5 linked regions of the Macaca mulatta genome follow. The protein of the gene in region 5 purifies or fractionates together with the protein of the main gene of each other region. This does not show direct contact. Links are inferred from orthologs where the notes say so. Each region holds a gene or a part of one and is shown on either strand. Other genes may lie near its edges.

What was found.
Region 1: the proteins of CHCHD4 (region 5) and TOR1AIP1 purify together in Homo sapiens (co-immunoprecipitation; 3 studies listed by BioGRID and IntAct, with this or other methods). This does not show direct contact. The link is inferred for Macaca mulatta from reciprocal best matches to the Homo sapiens genes CHCHD4 and TOR1AIP1.
Region 2: the proteins of CHCHD4 (region 5) and SSNA1 purify together in Homo sapiens (co-immunoprecipitation; 3 studies listed by BioGRID and IntAct, with this or other methods). This does not show direct contact. The link is inferred for Macaca mulatta from reciprocal best matches to the Homo sapiens genes CHCHD4 and SSNA1.
Region 3: the proteins of CHCHD4 (region 5) and TIMM10 purify together in Homo sapiens (co-immunoprecipitation; 4 studies listed by BioGRID and IntAct, with this or other methods). This does not show direct contact. The link is inferred for Macaca mulatta from reciprocal best matches to the Homo sapiens genes CHCHD4 and TIMM10.
Region 4: the proteins of CHCHD4 (region 5) and COA7 purify together in Homo sapiens (co-immunoprecipitation; 3 studies listed by BioGRID and IntAct, with this or other methods). This does not show direct contact. The link is inferred for Macaca mulatta from reciprocal best matches to the Homo sapiens genes CHCHD4 and COA7.

What each region holds. Positions count from the first base shown.
Region 1 is NC_133406.1:37,288,375-37,292,369, reverse strand, and holds the start of TOR1AIP1 (torsin-1A-interacting protein 1), read right to left. Parts: upstream 2,805-3,995; 5' UTR 2,774-2,804; coding exon of another isoform or gene 2,696-2,773; 5' UTR 2,587-2,695; coding exon 2,109-2,586; intron 80-2,108; coding exon 2-79; intron 1-1. Other genes in the region: uncharacterized protein LOC144340607, read right to left, coding at 2,696-2,773. UniProt on the Homo sapiens protein: Required for nuclear membrane integrity. Induces TOR1A and TOR1B ATPase activity and is required for their location on the nuclear membrane. Binds to A- and B-type lamins. Possible role in membrane attachment and assembly of the nuclear lamina.
Region 2 is NC_133420.1:5,265,391-5,268,681, forward strand, and holds SSNA1 (microtubule nucleation factor SSNA1), read right to left. Parts: upstream 1,863-3,291; 5' UTR 1,793-1,862; coding exon 1,741-1,792; intron 1,452-1,740; coding exon 1,252-1,451; intron 727-1,251; coding exon 619-726; 3' UTR 505-618; downstream 1-504. Other genes in the region: ANAPC2 (anaphase-promoting complex subunit 2), read left to right, coding at 1,986-2,102, 2,415-3,037. UniProt on the Homo sapiens protein: Microtubule-binding protein which stabilizes dynamic microtubules by slowing growth and shrinkage at both plus and minus ends and serves as a sensor of microtubule damage, protecting microtubules from the microtubule-severing enzyme SPAST.
Region 3 is NC_133419.1:15,871,650-15,875,814, reverse strand, and holds TIMM10 (mitochondrial import inner membrane translocase subunit Tim10), read right to left. Parts: upstream 2,805-4,165; 5' UTR 2,790-2,804; intron 2,367-2,789; 5' UTR 2,322-2,366; coding exon 2,251-2,321; intron 735-2,250; coding exon 533-734; 3' UTR 367-532; downstream 1-366.
Region 4 is NC_133406.1:187,950,601-187,954,742, reverse strand, and holds the start of COA7 (cytochrome c oxidase assembly factor 7), read right to left. Parts: upstream 2,805-4,142; 5' UTR 2,713-2,804; intron 1,405-2,712; 5' UTR 1,049-1,404; coding exon 790-1,048; intron 1-789. UniProt on the Homo sapiens protein: Required for assembly of mitochondrial respiratory chain complex I and complex IV.
Region 5 is NC_133407.1:152,924,779-152,928,980, forward strand, and holds the start of CHCHD4 (mitochondrial intermembrane space import and assembly protein 40), read right to left. Parts: upstream 2,812-4,202; 5' UTR 2,730-2,811; coding exon 2,708-2,729; intron 1-2,707. Other genes in the region: TMEM43 (transmembrane protein 43), read left to right, coding at 3,238-3,249.

The sequences.
Region 1 (3,995 bases), on a different chromosome or scaffold from region 5:
CCTGGAGCCTCTTGTATGCTCCTGACAGTTTTCTTTGAAATCGTTTGGCTTAAATCAGTTTCGGAAGATGGTTCATCCTCTAAAAAACAGACGTAACTAGAGTTAAAATTCAGAATATATGACCTGGGAGATAATGGCACAGATTATGCATTTTTGTAATAATACATATGCAAAAATGCAAGAAATTCATTTCTTTAGAAACAGGTGGTTAGGTTTACCAAAATTTAGGAATTAAACTAGTCAGAACTCCTCTTGGGACAGAATACAACTAATTCGTTAGAATATAGTAATATTTGCCACTGTTGTTTTACAAAAATATATCATTTCAGAAAATCAAAAAGATGGGGTAGAGAATCACAAACAATGTGGAAGAATGCAGAAGAGTGAAAATGTTTAGATCTTTAAAGATTTAATAAAATAGGGGTAAATTCTTTACTTGTTAAAAAAATGTTAGCCTATATAACTGCACTAGGCTCTGTGGGACTCAATACAATGTAACATATTTATTGCCTACCTTGTGCAAAGCATTCTTCCAGGTACTGAAAGATACTGAATTAAACCAAGTACTTAAATTACTATCAAATATATATGATAGGCTCCTTGTCTGCAAAAACTTTGTAATTTTTTTTTTTTTTTTTTTTGAGACGGAGTCTCGCTGTGTCGCCCAGGCTGGAGTGCAGTGGCCGGATCTCAGCTCACTGCAAGCTCCGCCTCCCGGGTTTTTACGCCATTCTCCTGCCTCAGCCTCCCGAGTAGCCGGGACTACAGGCGCCCGCCACCTCGCCCGGCTAGTTTTTTGTATTTTTTAGTAGAGACGGGGTTTCACCGTGTTAGCCAGGATGGTCTCGAACTCCTGACCTCGTGATCCGCCCGTCTCGGCCTCCCAAAGTGCTGGGATTACAGGCTTGAGCCACCGCGCCCGGCCAAAACTTTGTAATCTTAAAAGAGATAAAACACACATATATATGGGCTAAACTGTCTTGAGTTGCTACACCCAAAAGTAACTGACACAACTTTAACATAAAGTTGCCAAAATCAAGTCTTCAAATCTGTCAGTACCTTCACGAGTCAGCAGGTAAACTTGCAGCCTATCATCGTGCTGTAAGCTGAAAACCCACTCCTCCGCATATCAATAGTCTACCACAAACTATGTCTTCCCATTGTGACTCAGGTCCGCTGATTTTTACCTCACAGGTGCCTTACGTGGGACTAACATGAAACTTCATCTGTGACTCAGTGTTGGGTCCCAAAATGGGGGGGCAGGGTGGGAGAGGATAGGTTAAGGAAACTGATTCACCTATGACTTACCTAACACTATACATTCACTCTGTCAGCATCCCTTTTGTCCATTTAGACGAAAACTAATTAATAGTATTGTTTTTCAGGTTGCTTTGTCAGCCTGATTTGCCAGACTACTTGAGGTTACAGTGACGGCCACCAAAGTGGCAGATTTTTGGCAGGGACCACCACACTGGAGAAAGAGCAATCAGCTCAAGTTTATCAGACACTGGGGAACATGAGTTCAGGAAAAATGAGTTACCCCATTTCGGTGTAAGTATTGGGTGAGGTCTCAAATCAATTAACTAAACTCAGCAATCCCTCGAAATGCCCACTCACAAAATTTCTCCTTTCTCTCTCTCCACCTGGGTGGGGAGGGAAAACGACTGAAAGGTTTGATCCTCAGCTGGAGACTCTGGCCTGCCAGCGTTAAAAAAGGAAATGGAAGTGGTTTCCGTAGAAACATCCGCAGGGTAGACGAAACCAAAATGAAACCGAACCTGGAGTAATTCGCTGTCCCCTCGTGAAGGCCTGCAGAAAAAGGCAGCCCTGACTCCCCTAAATTGATGCCCGATGTTGGTCAGAGCGCCCCAGCCCTGCCCGGGTCGCTCCATACGACCATCTTTCCACTCCTTAGGTCGGCGCTTCCTTCCCCGCTGCGGGTCAGGATGGCCCTTGCACGGCGACACACGTCCAGAAGGGACTGAGGAGTACCCAGTACCCAATCCCAGTACTTAGTACCCAGGCGGGGATGAGCTCCACGGAGGCGCGCGCCCGCCCCCGCGCGTTCCCTGGCTCGCGGCTGGGACTGTTACCTCCGCGGTCCTCACCTTCAGAGGAATGACAGTCCCGCAGCCCTCTCCTGGTCGTAACGGGAGACGGCTGTAGCGGAGGCTGCTGTGAGTACTGCTGCTGAAGGCGGGTAGCCCTTCGCGTCTGCATCTCTTCGGCTTCCTGGAGTCGCGGCAGCCTCCGCCGCTGCCTAGAACGAAGGTAGTACGCGCTTTCTCTCACTTCCTCTTTCGCAGAATCGGGCCGGAACTCTTCTAGCCGGCTTCGTTTTCCCACCGGGGACCTTTCTTTGGCCACCAGGGGCTCGAAGTCTCCGTACACTTCTGGCGGCTCCTCCGAGAACCTCACTTCCCGCCGGCCCTGGCGCGACAGAGGAGTTCCGTACGCAGGCGCGTCGCTGCTGCCGCCATTTTGAGGGGCGAGCCGGCCCCTTCCTTCTCGGATGGGGGCCCTGGGAGTGACGTACACACCCCATCCTTCCCGCACCGCCTCCGCCCGCGGTCCCTCGCCCGCCATAGTTGTTGACGTAGCTTTAGTTGATCGCGAGGATGGCTTTCTGGATCCTAGGTTCTCCTGCCGGTGGCGGCGATGGCTTCTCGGGTGTGTTAGGCGGTGGTCGCTGTGGTCAGGGAGGCAGTTGCGAGTCGCCGGGGCCGCCGCCTGCGTCGTCGCTGCTGTGTAGCAAACCTGCCTCTGGGCCCATGGTGTGTCTTGAGGGCTGTGGAAGAGGCAGTGCCTGAGCTGGGTCAGCTGCTGTGGGTCGCTCCCGCCTCCTGGCTGGAGACACCAAAGAGGAGGAGAAGGGGGAGGAGGACGTCTCTGCCTTCGGCCTTCAGTAAAGGAGGGGTGGGGGCGACGGAAGGGTGGCAGGGCAAATTGCCTGTCCCAAGTCGAGCCGCTCGTGGCAAGTTTTGACTGCATATAGGAGACGCCCGTCCTATCTCCCACTACCAAGTCTGCGGGAAAAGGAGTGAGACGAGGGTGAAGAAGACCAGGTTTCGCTTCTCGGCCCCAGGCTGTTGCGCAGTTTCCCTGGAATCGTTTTGATCGACTGCTACGTTGAGCATGTCCTTCCCAGTGTCCTTAGCAGGAGCGATGGCCAGAGAGATAACTTTTGCACATGTCATGTTTTCGTGGCAAAAATTTTAGTTTCAAGTTCCTTATGAAGGCGGTTACCTAGTTTTAAATTTTGTCACCTGTTGAGGTTGTACAAAATCCTGTCTACAGTCATACTCTTTGAATGTATTTTCTTTTCCGAAATGTACCCATAGGAAACATGACCTTATTCCTGGTCTTTAATATTTCTTGGTTTTATACCAAGCAGCACTGTTCGGAAGACCATGTTAGTGCTACATTGTGCACAGTGAGGAACACGTTTTTTTATTAAAGACAGTACTGTAATTTTAAGTTGTGATCCATTATTTTTACTTTTATTCTGGATATGACGTGATACTCTACATTTGATTTAAAATGCTTTCTGGACTTTCTGGAATAAGCATGGTAAAAGCTATTTGTTTCACCTCCATATACCATGTTTATAGATGTGGCTAATCTGCAAATACCTAACCAAATTTAGACACACTCAGAGAAGGTCGATTAAGTTCGTGTAAAGTCTGAATAATTATTGAAAAAAAGCTCAAATCACCTTCAAATATACAACTTCTTGTGGGACTTGCTATGATTGGAGTGAACAGATTTTAAAAATTGTAATTTGGATACCAGTTACAATGAGTGATTCTGAAAAGTTTGAAGGTGTTTGTTTATTCTTCCAAGTAATCACCTTAAAATGCTTCTGAGCAACTCATTTGTTGCTCAGACTTGGCACAAATTTCAACTACTTAGGTCGTAATGTGTACTACGTTTTTAGTTTTTATTTTATTTTATTTTGAGACGGAGTTTGCTCTGTCACCCAGGCTGGAGTGCAG
Region 2 (3,291 bases), on a different chromosome or scaffold from region 5:
CGCTGGCCTGGGCAGGGTGGGCACCCTCAGCGGTGTCCCTGAGGCTAGTTGGGCAGTCATAGGGAGACCACTCCAGACGCCTCCTCCCTCCTTTCCCAAGGGGGAGCCTCAGGCTCTGGCTCTGCGGGTGTCTGGCAGCCCCACACTGTTGACACGGGCAAGCAGCAGGCTGGCACGGACCTTTACAAAGATAATCTTTATTGATAATCACAGGCCACAGGGGTGAGCCCTGAGGTTTGGGTTCTGGGGTGAAGGAGAACCCCTGTCCCCTGCCCTGGGCCTCTGCTGGCTGAGGAGGGACAAGCTGAGGGGGCCCCCATGGTGCTCAGACAACCAGGGCCTCCCCAGCAGGGCAGGAGTGTGGGTGCCACAGAGACAGGCCCTTTGCAGAGCTGACCTGGAACCCACCATCCCCACAGCCCGTGTGAGCACGAAGCCCCTGGGTGGGCTGTGCCCTGGCTTGTCAATGATGCCAGTAGAGGCTGGCAGCCGCCCCTCTCGGCACCGGGGACAGTGAGGGAAGGCAGCTGCTGCTGTGAAGAACAAAGACGCTCTGAGGACAGACTTGTCGGGGCTGAGCTGAGGGGCGCACAGAGGCAGGCCCTGCCCGTGGTCTGGTCAGCTGTCCCTGCCACCGCTACTTTTCTGGTCTGAGGCTGTAGCCTTGGTCAGGTTCCCAGCTTCCCTCTTGAGGACGCTGAGCAAAGTCTGGGAGCTCTCCAGAATCTGGGGCCAGAGAAGTGAGAAAGTTGTTACTGTTCACCTGCTGGGAAGTTCCTAAGCCCCAGCTGTCCTCACACTCAGGTTCTGGGACCTGGCTGTGGGTGCTGTAGCCAAGGGATCCTGTGCGGGGGAAGGCGGAAGCCCAAGGGGACTGGCAGACGGGGTAACAGGGCCCTCTTCCCTCCTGAATCTGACCCGGAACACTTCCTCCCCACCCTCAAAGCCAGGCTGGGTTAGCACTGGCCCAAGACGTGGCTCTTCACACTCTAAGCAAAAAGAACCACATGGCTAGCGAGAACCGGATGAAGACCAGGACCCAGGATGCCCCAGGTCCCCCAGACAGCCCCACGGTCACTCCCGCAGCAGCCTGGGTTCCTCAATGGGCCTGGCCACGCTGCTCCTGCCCGACATGCCAGCGAGGCACAGACTGCCCACAGCTGGGAGCCCCAGACGGTCCTGACGCCCTGCCGCGGCTACACCCCTGCCGCGGCTATCCCCTGATGCTCCGCCTGGCCTCCCGAGCTCCACCTTGAGGTAGGCGGCCTCCGTCTCCGCGATGGTCCGGTCGAACTCGTTGCGAGAGGCAATCTTGCGTGCCAGGTTCTCGTTGACGCGGGCCAGCTTCTCCGTCAGCTGCCTCACCTCATTCTGCAGCCGCTGCTTCTCGTCCTCCTCCTCCTGGATCTGCCGGCACAGCTCTTCCCGCTTCTGGCACAGCTCCTCTATGCCTGGGGGGCCGGGAGGGGCGGGGCTGTGGGCCCAGGGCAGGAGCGCGGCGGCGGAGGGCGGGCCTCCTTCCACCCGAGGAAGCCAGAGTCAGGCACCACCCCCGAGCACCCGGCGCGGGGCCTGCGAGCCAACGAGGGCTCGGGGCCACGGACACCCAGCCCCCGGCACGGAGGGCTCTGCTCAGCTGCGCGATGCCCGCAACTAGGCGGGTCCAGGGGCACCCCGCTGCGAGCCGGGAACCCGGCCCTGCGGCCCTCCCGACCTCCCCGTCCCGGCTGCGCCGCTCACACTTGACCAGCTCGTTGTTGTAGTTCTGCAGCGCCGCGCCCTGCTGGGTCATGGTCTACGCCGCCCGGGGCCCCGCCACCCCAACCGACGCGGAACCAGCGCTGTCCGCGCCTGCGCACGACTCCCTGACGGCGCGCCGAACTACGCGTCATCGCTGAGCGCCTTGTGCGCGTCATGGCTGCGCGTGCAGACTTGCGTCATCGCTTTGCGCCGTGCCGAGGGGATCTCGGAGCCGGTGGCTGCAGATGGCGGCGGCAGTTGTGGTGGCGGAGGGGGACAGCGACTCCCGGCCCGGACAGGAGTTGTTAGTGGCCTGGAATACCGTGAGCACCGGCCTGGTGCCGCCAGCTGCGCTGGGGCTGGTGAGGCCTGGGAAGAGAGCGGCGGCCCCGCGCGGAGTTTCCGGGACCCTATGCACTTTGGGGCGGCCACCTTCGGGTTCATACAGCTCTGTCCGTCATCCGCCTCTGGCCTGTCCTGCCGCTTTCCACCGCCATTCCACTTCATTTCGTTCAGCTCCGCTGGCAGCCCTTCCCTAGTTTCGGCCCAACGTCCGGACACCACGGACAGGGGGCAGCGGAGTTTTTGCAGCCTACCCCTCAGCTTCTTCCCTTCCCCGCCTCTCCCCACCTCTATGTTGTGTTCCCCTCGCTTCACGGTTTTCTGCGCTCCAGGTGTCTTCCCGGACCAGCGGTGCAGTCCCGCCAAAGGAAGAGGAGCTCCGGGCGGCGGTGGAGGTTCTGAGGGGCCACGGCCTGCACTCGGTCCTGGAGGAGTGGTTCGTAGAGGTGCTGCAGAACGATCTGCAGGCCAACATCTCCCCTGAGTTCTGGAATGCCATCTCCCAATGCGAGAACTCTACGGATGAGCCCCAGTGCCTTCTGCTGCTCCTTGACGCTTTTGGCCTGCTGGAGAGCCGCCTGGATCCCTACCTGCGTAGCCTAGAGCTGCTGGAGAAATGGACTCGCCTGGGCTTGCTGATGGGCACTGGTGCTCAGGGGCTGCGAGAAAAAGTCCACACTATGTTGCGCGGAGTCTTGTTCTTTAGTACCCCCAGAACCTTCCAAGAGATGATCCAGCGTCTGTATGGGTGCTTCTTGAGAGTCTATATGCAGAGTAAGAGGAAGGGGGAAGGGGGCACAGACCCGGAACTGGAGGGGGAGCTGGACAGCCGGTATGCCCGTCGCCGGTACTACCGGCTCCTGCAGAGCCCGCTGTGCGCAGGGTGCAGCAGTGACAAGCAACAGTGCTGGTGTCGCCAGGCTCTGGAGCAGTTCCATCAGCTCAGCCAGGTCTTGTGAGTAGTCTGTCCTGATGGCCGTGCTCTCGCTCCTACTGGTTGCTCCCCTGGGTCCAGCTGGCCTCTGCAGAAAGCTGGTGAGCCGTCCTGATAACCAGGAACATGACAGAGAGAGAGTCCCTGGGGTTCCTGTGCAGTGTGTCCTGGACACAGGTGTCTCTCTTCTGTCACTCACCTGCAGTCCCACGGATTCATGCCTTGCCCGTGGTAAGGCCCTATGTGGCTTTTGTCTGCAGCAGCAAATTTCTTAG
Region 3 (4,165 bases), on a different chromosome or scaffold from region 5:
GTTCAAGCGATTCTCCTGCCTCAGCCTCCTGAGTAGCTGGGATTACAAGCACCCGCCACTACACCCAGCTAATTTTTGTATTTTTAATAGAGACGGGGTTTTGCCATGTTGGCCAGGTGGTCTTGAACTCCTGACCTCAAGTGATCCACCCACTTCAGCCTCCCAAAGTGCTGGGATTACAGGCGTGAGCCACTGTGCCTGGCCTGTCCTACTCTTAAACACTACATTAGTCTCCCTCTGCTGGTAGGGGCTGTGTCTGTTTACTCTCAAATGCCACGCACACTGCTTTGCACATAGTAGGTGTCAACAAACTTGTTTTAATATATATATACATACATACATACACACACAGTCACATTCCAGTGTGACAAATACTCCTTCACCAGGGGACAGCGCTACCACTCCAGGATCTTGAAGACTCGCTACAGAGAGCTTAGGCCTGGCAGTCCTCACAGATGACACCCAACAGGGAGCACTTTTATTAAAGTGGGAAGGGGTGGGGTGTACCCCAGGGTGTATGCTGACACGGACCTCACGCGGGCCCAGAGCTCTGCTGCACCCTCTTCATCAGCTCTTCATCCTGCATAGACAACTCTGTCAACTTTTTGCCCATTCGCTCATGGATGTCCAAGTACTTAGAGACACATCGGTCCAGGCACACAGACTCGCCCTTGGAGAGCTCTGCTTCCTTGTAGTGAGGAGGCACACACTTCCGGTGGCAGGCACTGGTCATTCTGGAGGGAGGGAGGGGCAAGGTCATGTCAGCAGCATCCTGTGACATCCCAGGAACCCTCGACCATTCCAGCCCTGCTATATTGATGTCACCTTCCCCAAGAAAGCAGTGTAAATCCTCAGTTTACACCTCAACCACTGGAAGGTCCTTGCAAGTAGGAAACTTGCCTGAGCCCATGTATATGACTAATTAAGTAGAAACAATTTGTTAAGGACTGGCTATGTGCCAGGCATCATGCTAAGTGCTTTACCTGCATTCTGTTATGCAATGCTTACAATTACCCCAAGAGATACTTATCCCCATTTTACAGACGAGAAAATTAAGGCAAACAGAGGCTCAGTAATTTTCTTTTTTTTTTTTTTTGAGACGGAGTCTCGCTCTGTCGCCCAGACTGGAGTGCAGTGGCGCTATCTCGGCTCACTGCAAGCTCCGCCTCCCGGGTTCACGCCATTCTCCTGCCTCAGCCTCCCGAGTAGCTGGGACTACAGGCGCCCGCCACCACGCCCGGCTAATTTCTTTTTGTATTTTTAGTAGAGACGGGGTTTCACCGTGTTAGCCAGGATGGTCTCGATCTCCTGACCTCGTGATCCGCCCGCCTCGGCCTCCCAAAGTGCTGGGATTACAGGCTTGAGCCACCGTGCCCGGCCGAGGCTCAGTAATTTTCTAAGAATCACATAGAGCTGAGATATGAACCCAGGTCATCTGACCTCACAGTCTACACTTAACAATCTTTCTAATTTATAGTCGTCAGGATAAACCAACCAATCAAGAGAGCTTAAGCCAATAAAAATAGCAGACATTTCACTGTTACTAAGTGTTGGGCTTGAGGCTAAGGACTTTCATATATTTTTAGATTTAATATTTATGATGCCCTATGAGGTAGGTATCATTATGTCTTTTTCATAATGAGGAAACCAATTGTCAAACAGTGCAAGTAACATGTCCAAGTATACTGCTGGTGATTGGTGGAGCCAGGATTTGTTCCCAAATGTGCCAAATGGTTATGAGCACTAGTTGCAGAACCAGACTGAGGTGCTAGTTCTGGCATTGTTACCCACCAGATGCGGACCCTAAGGAAGTTACTTAACCTCTAGCAGCATCAATTTCCTCATTTTAAGATGGGACTAATAAAATTAACCCACTGGATTATTTTGAAGATTAACAAGAGCCTGACACAGAATAAAGGGTTTTAAAATGTTAACTACTAAATGGGCTGGCTATGTGCTATTTATCAAGAGGCAAATACTCAGCTTTTCTTGGAACCTAACCAGAGCCTGGATTGGAGCTTCTCTTCCTGCTTGGCTCCTGCATTGCCAGTTCCATCCCCATCTAAATGCCCAACTCATTCTAGTGACTGCATCTACATTAGGATCAACCTTGGAGGTGCGTATGGGGAGGGTAAGCATGGGCCTCAGGCTCCCCTACATTCAGGAAGGCATTTGTTGTAAGTCATTCACCTTCGATATGGGTGACCAAGACTTATTTTCCAAGACAGGGTAGAACATAGTTCTCTTTACCTGTTGTACATATCGGCCATCATCTCCACCTCCAGCTCCGCAGCCAGCTGTTGGGCCCTGAGAGGATCCATCTCAGCCTAGCACCGTGGAAGGTATCTCCTTCTGGCCTCCTAATCCTGGGAGCAGACATCACCATCAGCACCCACCGCCGCCGTTCACTCTCCTACCCCTTGGGGCTAGAGGATACAGAGGACTCACAGGGCGCCAGACCACCACGGGCCACTAACCTCAGTGAGCTTAACCACCCCATTTCACGGATGTGGAAACTGAGGCCTCGCCCAAGGTCGCACAGGACGTCCATGGCGAGCCTGGAAATCGAGCCCCGGATCTCTGATGCCCCAGTCCCTGGAGGTCACCTCTATTCAGAAGATCGAGGACCGAGGCAGAACGCTCTAACCATAAGCCTGAACCTCCAGGGCCCTGGGAATGAGATCGTACGCTGAACACAGGCGACTGGGACGCAGCCTAAAGGCTGCGCCTCTGAAATGGCGACGCCATAATCAGAGCCACATTGAATTCAGAGGTCATGGGTCACTCACCACTGCCTGGGACGGATCGCAATGCTCACGGAGACCCCAACTTCTGACAAAAACTATAACGTTACCCGCCTCTCCAGAAGGCTCCAGCGGAAGCACGTGGGTTACTTCCGGGAGGGAAGTCCCGCCTCTCCTTTGATTCAAACTCGCTTCCGGAACTAAATACCAACGAGACGGCGCCGGGAACTCGGCGATCCTAGAGAGGGAGCGGCCGGCGCCGGGCGAAGAGGAAGGCGACTTGCCAGTGCTAGAGGGGACGCCAAAGTACCATAGAGGCTTGGGCGGGGTGCAGAGCGTCTGCAGCCCGCTTACAATTCAAGTCCCTTGGGATGTCACAGAGCCGCTTCAGTTTATTGGTTCTGTAGGAAGAGGCGTGGCGACAGATATCAGTGAACCTCATCCCAGTTCCGGACAGCCGACTCCTGAGCGTAAATCAGGCGTGGAGAAGGAAGAACGCCCCCAAACAGCGATTCTGTTTTTGTTTCGCGTTAAAATCCCTGAAACGTTTTTAAACGTCCCAGTGCCCAGGACTCACCTCATTTCAATTAAATCAGAATCTCTGGGAGTAGGACCCAGGCATCAATACAATTTAAAATTCCCCAGGTGATTCGTATGTACAGCCAAATTTGAGAAGCAGTGCTCCATGGGACGTTGTACGATTACTACTGTGTGTAGGTCACACTAAGCCCCTTCTGGTGTTGCAACGATAAGCGAGATAGGCTTCCTGCTCGTAGAAAGACAAGACGTGTAAAATACGTTTTCTTCAACAGTCAGAGGTCCTGAGCCACAAAGAGATTAATAAAAGCAATTTCGGCTGCCACCGGGGCTAATCTTGGGTGAGGGAGAAGGAGGGTACTGGTGAACTTTTCAACTTTCAAGACTTAATGTGTTCTTCAAACTGCACCATTCACTCATTCCCCACTAAAAAGAAGGAAACAACACTCAGTCCCTTGATTTGTCACACAATTTCCTAGTAAAATAAATTTACAAGATGTAAATTGATGACGCAAGGGCACATTGCTCATTGGAAAAGGTGGGCTAGACATTTTATATGTGTGGTCATCATATGCTTCCCTAATTGTCCAAGACCATCCTGATTTTAAACAATCGACCTTTCTGCTTTGAAGACTCATCTTTGTCAAACCTTGTGCCCTGATTTTTAAAGATTGAGGTATAATATTCATAAAGTGCATAAAATACACGAATCTCAAGCTTAATTAAATATATATGTGTATATATACATTTGTATAACCACCACCCAGATCAAGATATAAAATACTTCCTGCACCCCAAAAAGTTATCTTGTGTTTCTTCCCCATTAATACTCCCTCTTGAAGTTAACCACTATTCTGACCTCTATCACCATCAATTCGTTTTCC
Region 4 (4,142 bases), on a different chromosome or scaffold from region 5:
TGGATTCTATCTTGTTCTCTCCTTTAAATTACTCACTCTGGGAGAAGCCAGACGCCATGTCATGAGGACACTCAAGCAGCCCATGGAGAGAACCATGTCATGATGATCTGAGCTCTCCCAATAACAGCTGGTAAGGAACAGAGGCCTCTGTTACCAGCCATCAGAGTGAGTCATCTTAGAACTGGAAACTCCCAACTTCAGTCAAGCCTTCCAATGACGACAGCCCTGGTTCCATGGCCAATGTCTGACTATAACCTCATGAGACACCCTGAGGTACCCCACTAAACCACTCCCAAATTCTTGACCCACAGAAACTACTGAGGTGATCTGTTATTTAGCCATACATAATGTAAACACTATGCCAGTGATAACTATAATTAGAGTAGGAGAAAAGACAGAAGCAAGACAATTATAATTACTGACCCCTTACTCTGTGCCAGGCACATGCTGATGCCTTTTTCTATACTATCCTATTTAATCCTCACGACCCTACAAAGCAAGTACTATTTCCCTCCAATTTACAGGTGATGTAACTTGAGTGCACAGAGTTGAAGTGATTGGCTCAAGATCTCACTATTTGCAAATAGCATTCCCTAAGGTTTACCTAACTTGAAAGGCTGTGTTCTTCCCCACATCGCTCTGCTGAACTCCTACCTCTCCATCTTCCTACAATGCACTTGCCCAATGCCTGCGAGACCCTTCTGCAAGAGCTCATCATGGGGCTCAGGTGTGAGGCCAGCACTGCCATCAGTGACAAGGACCCAAAAAGCAGACCCTCCTTACCCTTACCTTTTCCAGTCACATAGTAGGCCCCCAGTTTGTAGCAACTATCGCTGTGCTGGTTCTCTTCACAGTTAAACTTCAACACCTTGGCAGCCTCATCAAAATTCTTCTGGATCCCTTCCAAATAGTCCACCAGCCGATAGCAACCTGCGAAGAGAGGGCAAGGGCTGTTCTTCATGTCTGGGGCTGCTGCTTCACAGTGGGGGCTTGGGGTAGGGGGTGCCCAGGTGTGGCAGGCCAGGCTATGTCTTTTAAGACAGCCCATGTCCTCCTGAGATGTCGCAAGTTGACCTTACCACAAAGAATGTAGGTGGTGTTTAGTTATACCTACAAATGACACTGTCTCCCCATAGCCATGGACTGAGCAATATATGGCCTGGGGAAACCTCAGTCCCTGCATTGGCTCCATCACTCACCAGCCCTTCTGCTCCCTGTCAGCCACGCCCAAATACCCACCGACTTCCATGATTGAAACTTTGCTAGTTTTGGAATCTCTCATGAAGTTCAATGGTAAAAACAATGAAAACCTAAAAGGCTCATAGACTAGTCTTTGTAGCAGCAAGAAAACGGTGCTGGGTCAGGCTTGGTAGCTCATATCTGTAATCCCAGTACTTAGGGAGGCTGAGGCAGGAGGATCACTTGAGGTCTGGAGTTCGAGACCAGCCTGGACAGGGTGAAACCCTGTCTCTACTAAAAATACAAAAAAATTATCCAGAAGTGGAAATATATTAAAAAATTAGCCAGGTGTGGTGGCACACACCTGTAATCCCAGCTACCTGGGAGGCTAAGACAGGAGAATCACTTGAACCCAGGGGGCAGAGGTTGCAGTGAGTCGAGATCGTGCCACTGCACTCCAGCCTGGGTGACACAGTGAGACTCTGTCTTAAAAAAAAAAAAAAAAAGAAAAAGAAAAAGAAAAGGGTGCTGTGATGACTATACCTTACTCCTCAGCTAGGGTAGGAACATGAAAGCCAAAAAGAAAGAGTAGAGGTGGCCGCTTCTATGGAAACAGGCTCCATGTCTCCCAATCCCAGTAAACCTCTCTCCTTAATCTCTCTCCCCTCTTCTTAACCCCTGGTGACAACATGTATCTCTCATTCATTTTCACTCAACAAATATTTGGGCCGGGCGCGGTGGCTCACGCCTGTAATCCCAGCACTTTGGGAGGCCGAGGCGGGCGGATCACAAGGTCAGGAGATCGAGACCACGGTGAAACCCCGTCTCTACTAAAAATACAAAAAATTAGCCGGGCGCGGTGGCGGGCGCCTGTAGTCCCAGCTACTCAGGAGGCTGAGGCAGGAGAATGGCGTGAACCCAGGAGGCGGAGCTTGCAGTGAGCCGAGATCGCGCCACTGCACTCCAGCCTGGGCGACAGAGCGAGACTCCGTCTCAAAAAAAAAAAAAAAAACACAAATATTTGAACATCTCTATGCATCTATGTAACAGACATGGTTCTAGATGCTGAAAATATACTCATTTGCCCTCCTAAAATTTACATTCTAGGGGAGGAAATACAGTAAGTAAATGAACAAAATTTATTCAAACAGTAATAAATGTTATGATTATAACAACTCAGAAACAGGAAGTGAAATACTGCATGTCCTCACTTATAAGTGAGAGCTAAATACTGTGTACACATGGACACAAAGAGTGTGGAATAATAGACACTGGAGATTGGGAAGGGTGAGAGGAAGAAATTACCTAACAGGTACAAGTACATTATTTGGGTGATGGTTATATTAAAAGCCCCGACTTCCCCAGCAATTTGGGAGGCCGAGGCGGGCAGATCACCTGAGGTCGGGAATTCTAGACCAGCCTGACATGGAGAAACCCTGTCTCTACTAAAAATACAAAAATATTAGCTGTGCATGGTGGTGCATGCCTATAATCCCAGCTACCTGGGAGGCTGAGGCAGAGAATCACTTCAACTCAGGAGGCGGAGATTGCGGTGAGCCGAGATGGGCCATTGCACTCCAGCCTGGGCAATAAGAGCGGAACACCGTCTCAAAAAAAAAAACAAGCCCAGACTACACAACCAGGCAATATATCCATGTAACAAAACTGCACTTGTACTCCTTAAATGTATACAAATAAATAAATAAATAAATAAATGCTATGACTGAAATAAAACAGGATAACTGTTTGCTGTCAACTTTGGGTGAAGCTAACAAAGACTGGGCCACTGGGGAGGGGCTGTGACCTCAATAACAAGAAAGTACTAGCTATTTAAAGACAATGGAATGGGAGTGGGGCAGGGATTTGGAACAAATTTAAAAATTAAAAAAAAAAAAATGAAATTAAAAGACAATAAAATGGGCAGGGGCACAAAGTCCTGGCACAACGAACAGTAAATACAAAGACCTGAAAGAGAGAATAAGTTTGGCACGAATAAGGTACAACATGGCTGAACCAAGGAGGAGGGTCAGGAAATGAAGAAGGAAGGTAGGGACGAGACCCCAGGCCTTGTGAAACATAGGATGCAGTTACGATTTTTTTCCAACTGAAACAGTAAACCACTGGAGGGTTTTAAGAAAATAAGTAATATGATTCAGGCCAGGTGTGGTGGCTCATGCCTGTAATCCCAGCATTTTGGGAGGCCAAGGAGGGTAGATCACTTGAGGTCAGGAGTTCAAGACCAGCCTGGCCAAAATGGTGAAATCCTGTCTCTACTAAAAATACAAAAATTAGCCAGGCTTGATGGCGCACACTTGTAATTCCAGCTATTCGGGAGGCTGAGGCAGGAGAATCACTTGAACCCAGGAGGCTAAGGTTGCAGTGAGCTGATATCATGCCACTGCACTCAAGCCTGGGCAACAGAGCAAGACTCAGTCTCAGGAAAAAAAAAAAAAAAAAAAAAAGCCAGGTGTGGTGGCACATGCCTGTAATCCCAGCTACTTGGGAGGCTGGGGCAGAAGTGCTTGAACCTGGGAGGAAGAGGTTGCAGTGAGCCAAAATTGCGCCACTGCACTCCAGCCTGGGCAACAGAGTAAGACCCTGTCTCAAAAAACAACCAAAAAGTCACCAAAAACAACAACCCCACCCCCCAACAAAAACGTTACTCTGGTATACATGTTCATATATGCCTGGGTGATTATGCAGGAATTTAAGTATGTGAGGGCATATAATTGGGCATTGATAACAAATATGTTATTTTAAAATCTAATATTTAACATAACAAAATTAAAATTAAAATATCAGTTTATCTGTGAGTAGAAATGGATTTTAAGGGAGTAAAGTGCAAAGACAGGGACAGGTTAGAAGGCAACTTCAGTTATCCAGGTAAGAGATCCTTCCTGACATGCAAGGAAACTACTACACCAGTCGCTATGGTAACTACAGCCTCTTCTCAGGTCTCCTGA
Region 5 (4,202 bases):
TCACTTATGACAGTCTGTAATCATGCATTGGTCTGGTGATGTTTTAATGGCAATCTCTTCCACCATGCCAGGAAGGCAGAGAATGTGTCACATTGCTCACCACTATATGCCCAATGGCTGGCACGTCACATGTGCTTTATAAATGTTGACTAAACACGAGTGGGCAGGCTCTGCATTAGAAAGAGGAAACTAAGAAAGAAACACTATGGTGCTGACACACAGAAGTGTGGCTAGCCCAAGGCCAGGGAGCCAGGATGAGAGCCCTCGAATGCCAAACCAAGGAGTTTAACCTGAAGGCTGGGTAGCAGGTGGACCCCTGAAATAAACTTGCACAGGCAAGTGATTCACTCAGGACAGAGGGCAGGTACACGCATGATTCAATAAAGATTTGGGCACCCATTGTACACCAGGCCCTGTGCCAGATGCTGGGGATTCCACAGCCCATCTGATGCTCTCAGCTTAGTGGGAGAAGACAGGCAGGAAGATGGCAAAAAATAAAAAAGGTAATTTCAGAGAGTTCAGGATGTGAAAGACACAAAGGGTCAGGAGGCTAAATTTTAAAGGATGAGGAGTCAGCCATGGAAGAGGTGAAGGCAGGATCTACCAAACCAAGGGTATAGCGAAGAGGTTAGAGGCTGGGCAACAAAAAGGTGGGAAGAGACCAGGCTGGAAAGGCAGACAGGGCCAGATCACATAAGCTCTGATACGGTAAGGAGTTTGGGATCATTTTTTTTAAAAATCCTATGGGAAGCATAAAGGATCAGTGAGCAAAAAAAAAAAAAAAAAAAAAATGTTAGGGACTTCTTAGGGGGACAGTGGTATGGATAAGAAAAATACTAAGGAAGGCCTATAAGTGAGTGCTTTCAATTCTCACTCATCTCCTAAGAGAGATCTTTGAACCAGGAAAAGATAAGGGCTCCATGTTTTTTTTTTTTTTTTTGAGACGGAGTCTTGCTCTGTAGCCCGGGCTGGAGTGCAGTGGCCGGATCTCAGCTCACTGCAAGCTCCGCCTCCCGGGTTTATGCCATTCTCCTGCCTCAGCCTCCGGAGTAGCTGGGACTACAGGCGCCCGCCACCTCGCCCGGCTAGTTTTTTGTATTTTTAGTAGAGACGGGGTTTCACGGTGTTAGCCAGGATGGTCTTGATCTCCTGACCTCGTGATCCGCCCGTCTCGGCCTCCCAAAGTGCTGGGATTACAGGCTTGAGCCACCGCGCCCAGCCAAGGGCTCCATGTTTTGAAGGCAGATGGACCTAGCCTCCCTTTCCAGAGAAAACTGCCTCCTGTAAATCCTCAAAGAGAAGGAGGGTTTTGTTTATCAGCACAGCCTCATTATACCCAAAGGCTCAAAAATTATTTGCTAAATGAAGTAAATTAGAGAGAGACTTGAAATTAAAAACAACAGTGGTGAGGGCAGAGGACTTTTGCTTACGGCACACATTAAGTAGTAATCAGCGGAAATATAATAGTACTCATTAAAGAGTGAGTCTTATGGCTTTACAACCCAGAGGAGGAGAGGTTCTAGAAGCAGACAGGGCTACTAGGGAAAAGGCTCAGCATTTTAGGCTGAGCTATGCTCCTAACTGGATGTGTAACTAAGGTAGGCCACCTCCTTCTCTGGGCTTCAGATTGCTTGAATTAACTGATGGAGCTGGAGTATTCACCAAAGAATTTCTGGGTGACTTCCAACTCTCTCTGTAGCTTTATAACCATCCATCCCCCTTCTCTGGAGCAGAGAAGATGCTTCATGAATATTTGCTGTATCAGTGAAGCCCAACATCTCATTTTACAACACTGGAAACCAGGGCCTGGAGGGGTTAGGTAGGAGCTTAGGGCCAAGGAGTCAGTTTGTGGCAGTGTGTGGGGAGGCCCTCCGACCTGTGGCTTGGGTACTTCTGAGCTCTTGGGTAGAGTAACATCAAGGAAGCATTAGGTGGTTGGAGCTCAACTTTGGGGTGGGAGGTAGGCAGGGTTCTCCCTGCAATCCACTGGGCACTAGATTGGAAAAGGCTGTTCTGGGGTCACAATGCCCAGGCTCAAACCCCGGTTCCACGATTTGCTGGCTGAGTGGCTTTAGCCAAGTCTCCTGTGTCAGACTTTACTCTTCAGTAAAATGTGACCAGTAACAGAGTCTGACTTACAAAGGGCGCAGCGAGATCAATGAGACAAGCCACGTAAGTTTCCTTGAACAGTGCCTGATAGGTAGCAGGGGGCTCAAAAACATTCCCGTTAGTAGAACTCCTAGCACAACTCCTAGCACCCCAGCACAGCACACGCTACCCCCAGTAGCAACTTTTCGGGACCCGCCTTTTAAAGGCGCGTGCAAAATGGCAACACGTGGGGTATGGCAGGAGCGGTAGTAATAATTAACATACATTCCCAGTTACGAGCCACACGCAACGTGCTCGGCATTTCCCGTGCCCCAACCCGGCCTAGTTTACGACTTCCCACGCACAGGCCCCTCTGAGGTCAGGGTTCGGGCTTCACTGTGACCTTGGACCAGTCCCGTTCCCCCGAGAGCTTCGGTTTTCTCATTCGCAAAACACGAGTGGCGACCCCCCAGCCTGCCCGCCTCCGAGTGTCCCAGGGTGGGCAACCGGGCCGCGCCTCGGGTGGCCCGCGCCTGCGGCGTGGTAGCGGGGCGCCGGGGCCCGCGTGTCTCCCGCAGGCCCTCGTAGGCCGGTCTCCATGGCAGCCCGCCCTCCCTACCTTCCTGCCGGCAATAGGACATGGCTGCAGCCCGTCCCTGAGACCTTGCAGAAGCGGCAGTGGCGGTAGCTGCAGCTTTACGCCGTGACCTCCTCTCCTCAGGCAGGGCGGGCGCCTCCGAAGCCCGCGCGGACCCGCCCCCTCCAGGCCTGCCCGCCGCGCGCCTGCCTCGGCGCCCTCTTAACCGCGGCCAGGCCCACCTCAGCCGGAAACTACATTTCCCAGCAGGTCGCGAGCCCCACAGCAGCTCGCCAGGCAGTAGAAACTACATTTCCCAGAAAGCTTTGCAGTGCGCAGGCGCATCAATGAGGTACTGTAATGTCCCTGACCCGTTTCCAGGTCTCGCCGTGCGCATGCGCAGAAACACTGGGCACACGGGGCGGTAACTGCAGTAAGTCCCGCCTGGTCTTGGAGTCCACGCGGATTTTCGAAGCTGGGGCTGGCAAGAGGCCGCTGGACTCCGCGCTCCAGTCGTCAGCCCACTTCCTAGCTGAACAGCGCGAGGCGGCGGCAGCGAGCCGGGTCCCACCATGGCCGCGAATGTGAGTGTCCCCTGGCCAGCCGGGCCACACCCAGGCTTCTCCGTCGCCCTGGGGCTCTTCCCCGGGGCCCTCTGGGTCCGTTTCGCCGTCTGGAGCTCCTCCCTGCGGCTGGGCCCGCATCTCCCTCTGCGCGCCGTGTCGGTGCCTTCGCCAGCTCATCCCTCTGTTAATCTCTCGAACCGTCCAGACTTCTTTTGTCCGTGTTCTTTGGTCCGCCTAGTCCTCGGCGTTCGTGCGGAGGCGGACTCGGAGGTGTTGCTCCCGCACTACGATCTGCTTGTACGCCTCTCCGCGGCTCCTCCTTGCATTCCTAGTTCCCTCCTGTATCTTGGGGCCCTGAAGCCGTCCCAAGGTTGCGCATTATGAGAGCTGGACGGGAGCTCAGAGAGGGGGCCATTCCCTTGGGAGGGAGGAAGGCGACCCAGCCCAAGTGGAGCTGTCCAGCAATGGACGGATAGGGCTGTCCAGGCGGGCAGAGAGCTCCCCGCTCTAGGGAGGCTGTGTAAACCGAGGCTGTGATGCTGCAAAAAGCTTAGGCTGGGCTGGGAGCGAAGGAGTTAGGGGGAGAGGGAGCATTTCTCTACTGTCGGGGCCCCTCCTCCTCCTAGCAAGGATTTGGTTGGAGAAGGCCTGGCTGAGGGCTGTTCCTTCAAGGCCTCTTCTCCCTGCAACTAGCCTTTCTCGGGAAACTATTTAAGCCCAACATTCATTCAGCACACCAAGCAGCGCCTCCTACCAGGGCGCTGGATGTGGGAGAAGCTGGTGACTCACTTCTCCCCTCCTCTGTGAAAGTGCTTCTAGGGCCTGCTTAGGAGCCCAGCCAGCCCCAGACACACCCTCCCTCCTGCTTTGGTAGAGTGTCCTAGCAGCTCTCCCCTTGCCTGTCACACCCTATTTCCAGACGCCGCCTCTGTCCCCAAGCGTCCTCTCTGCCTCCCACACCCCTTGAGAGG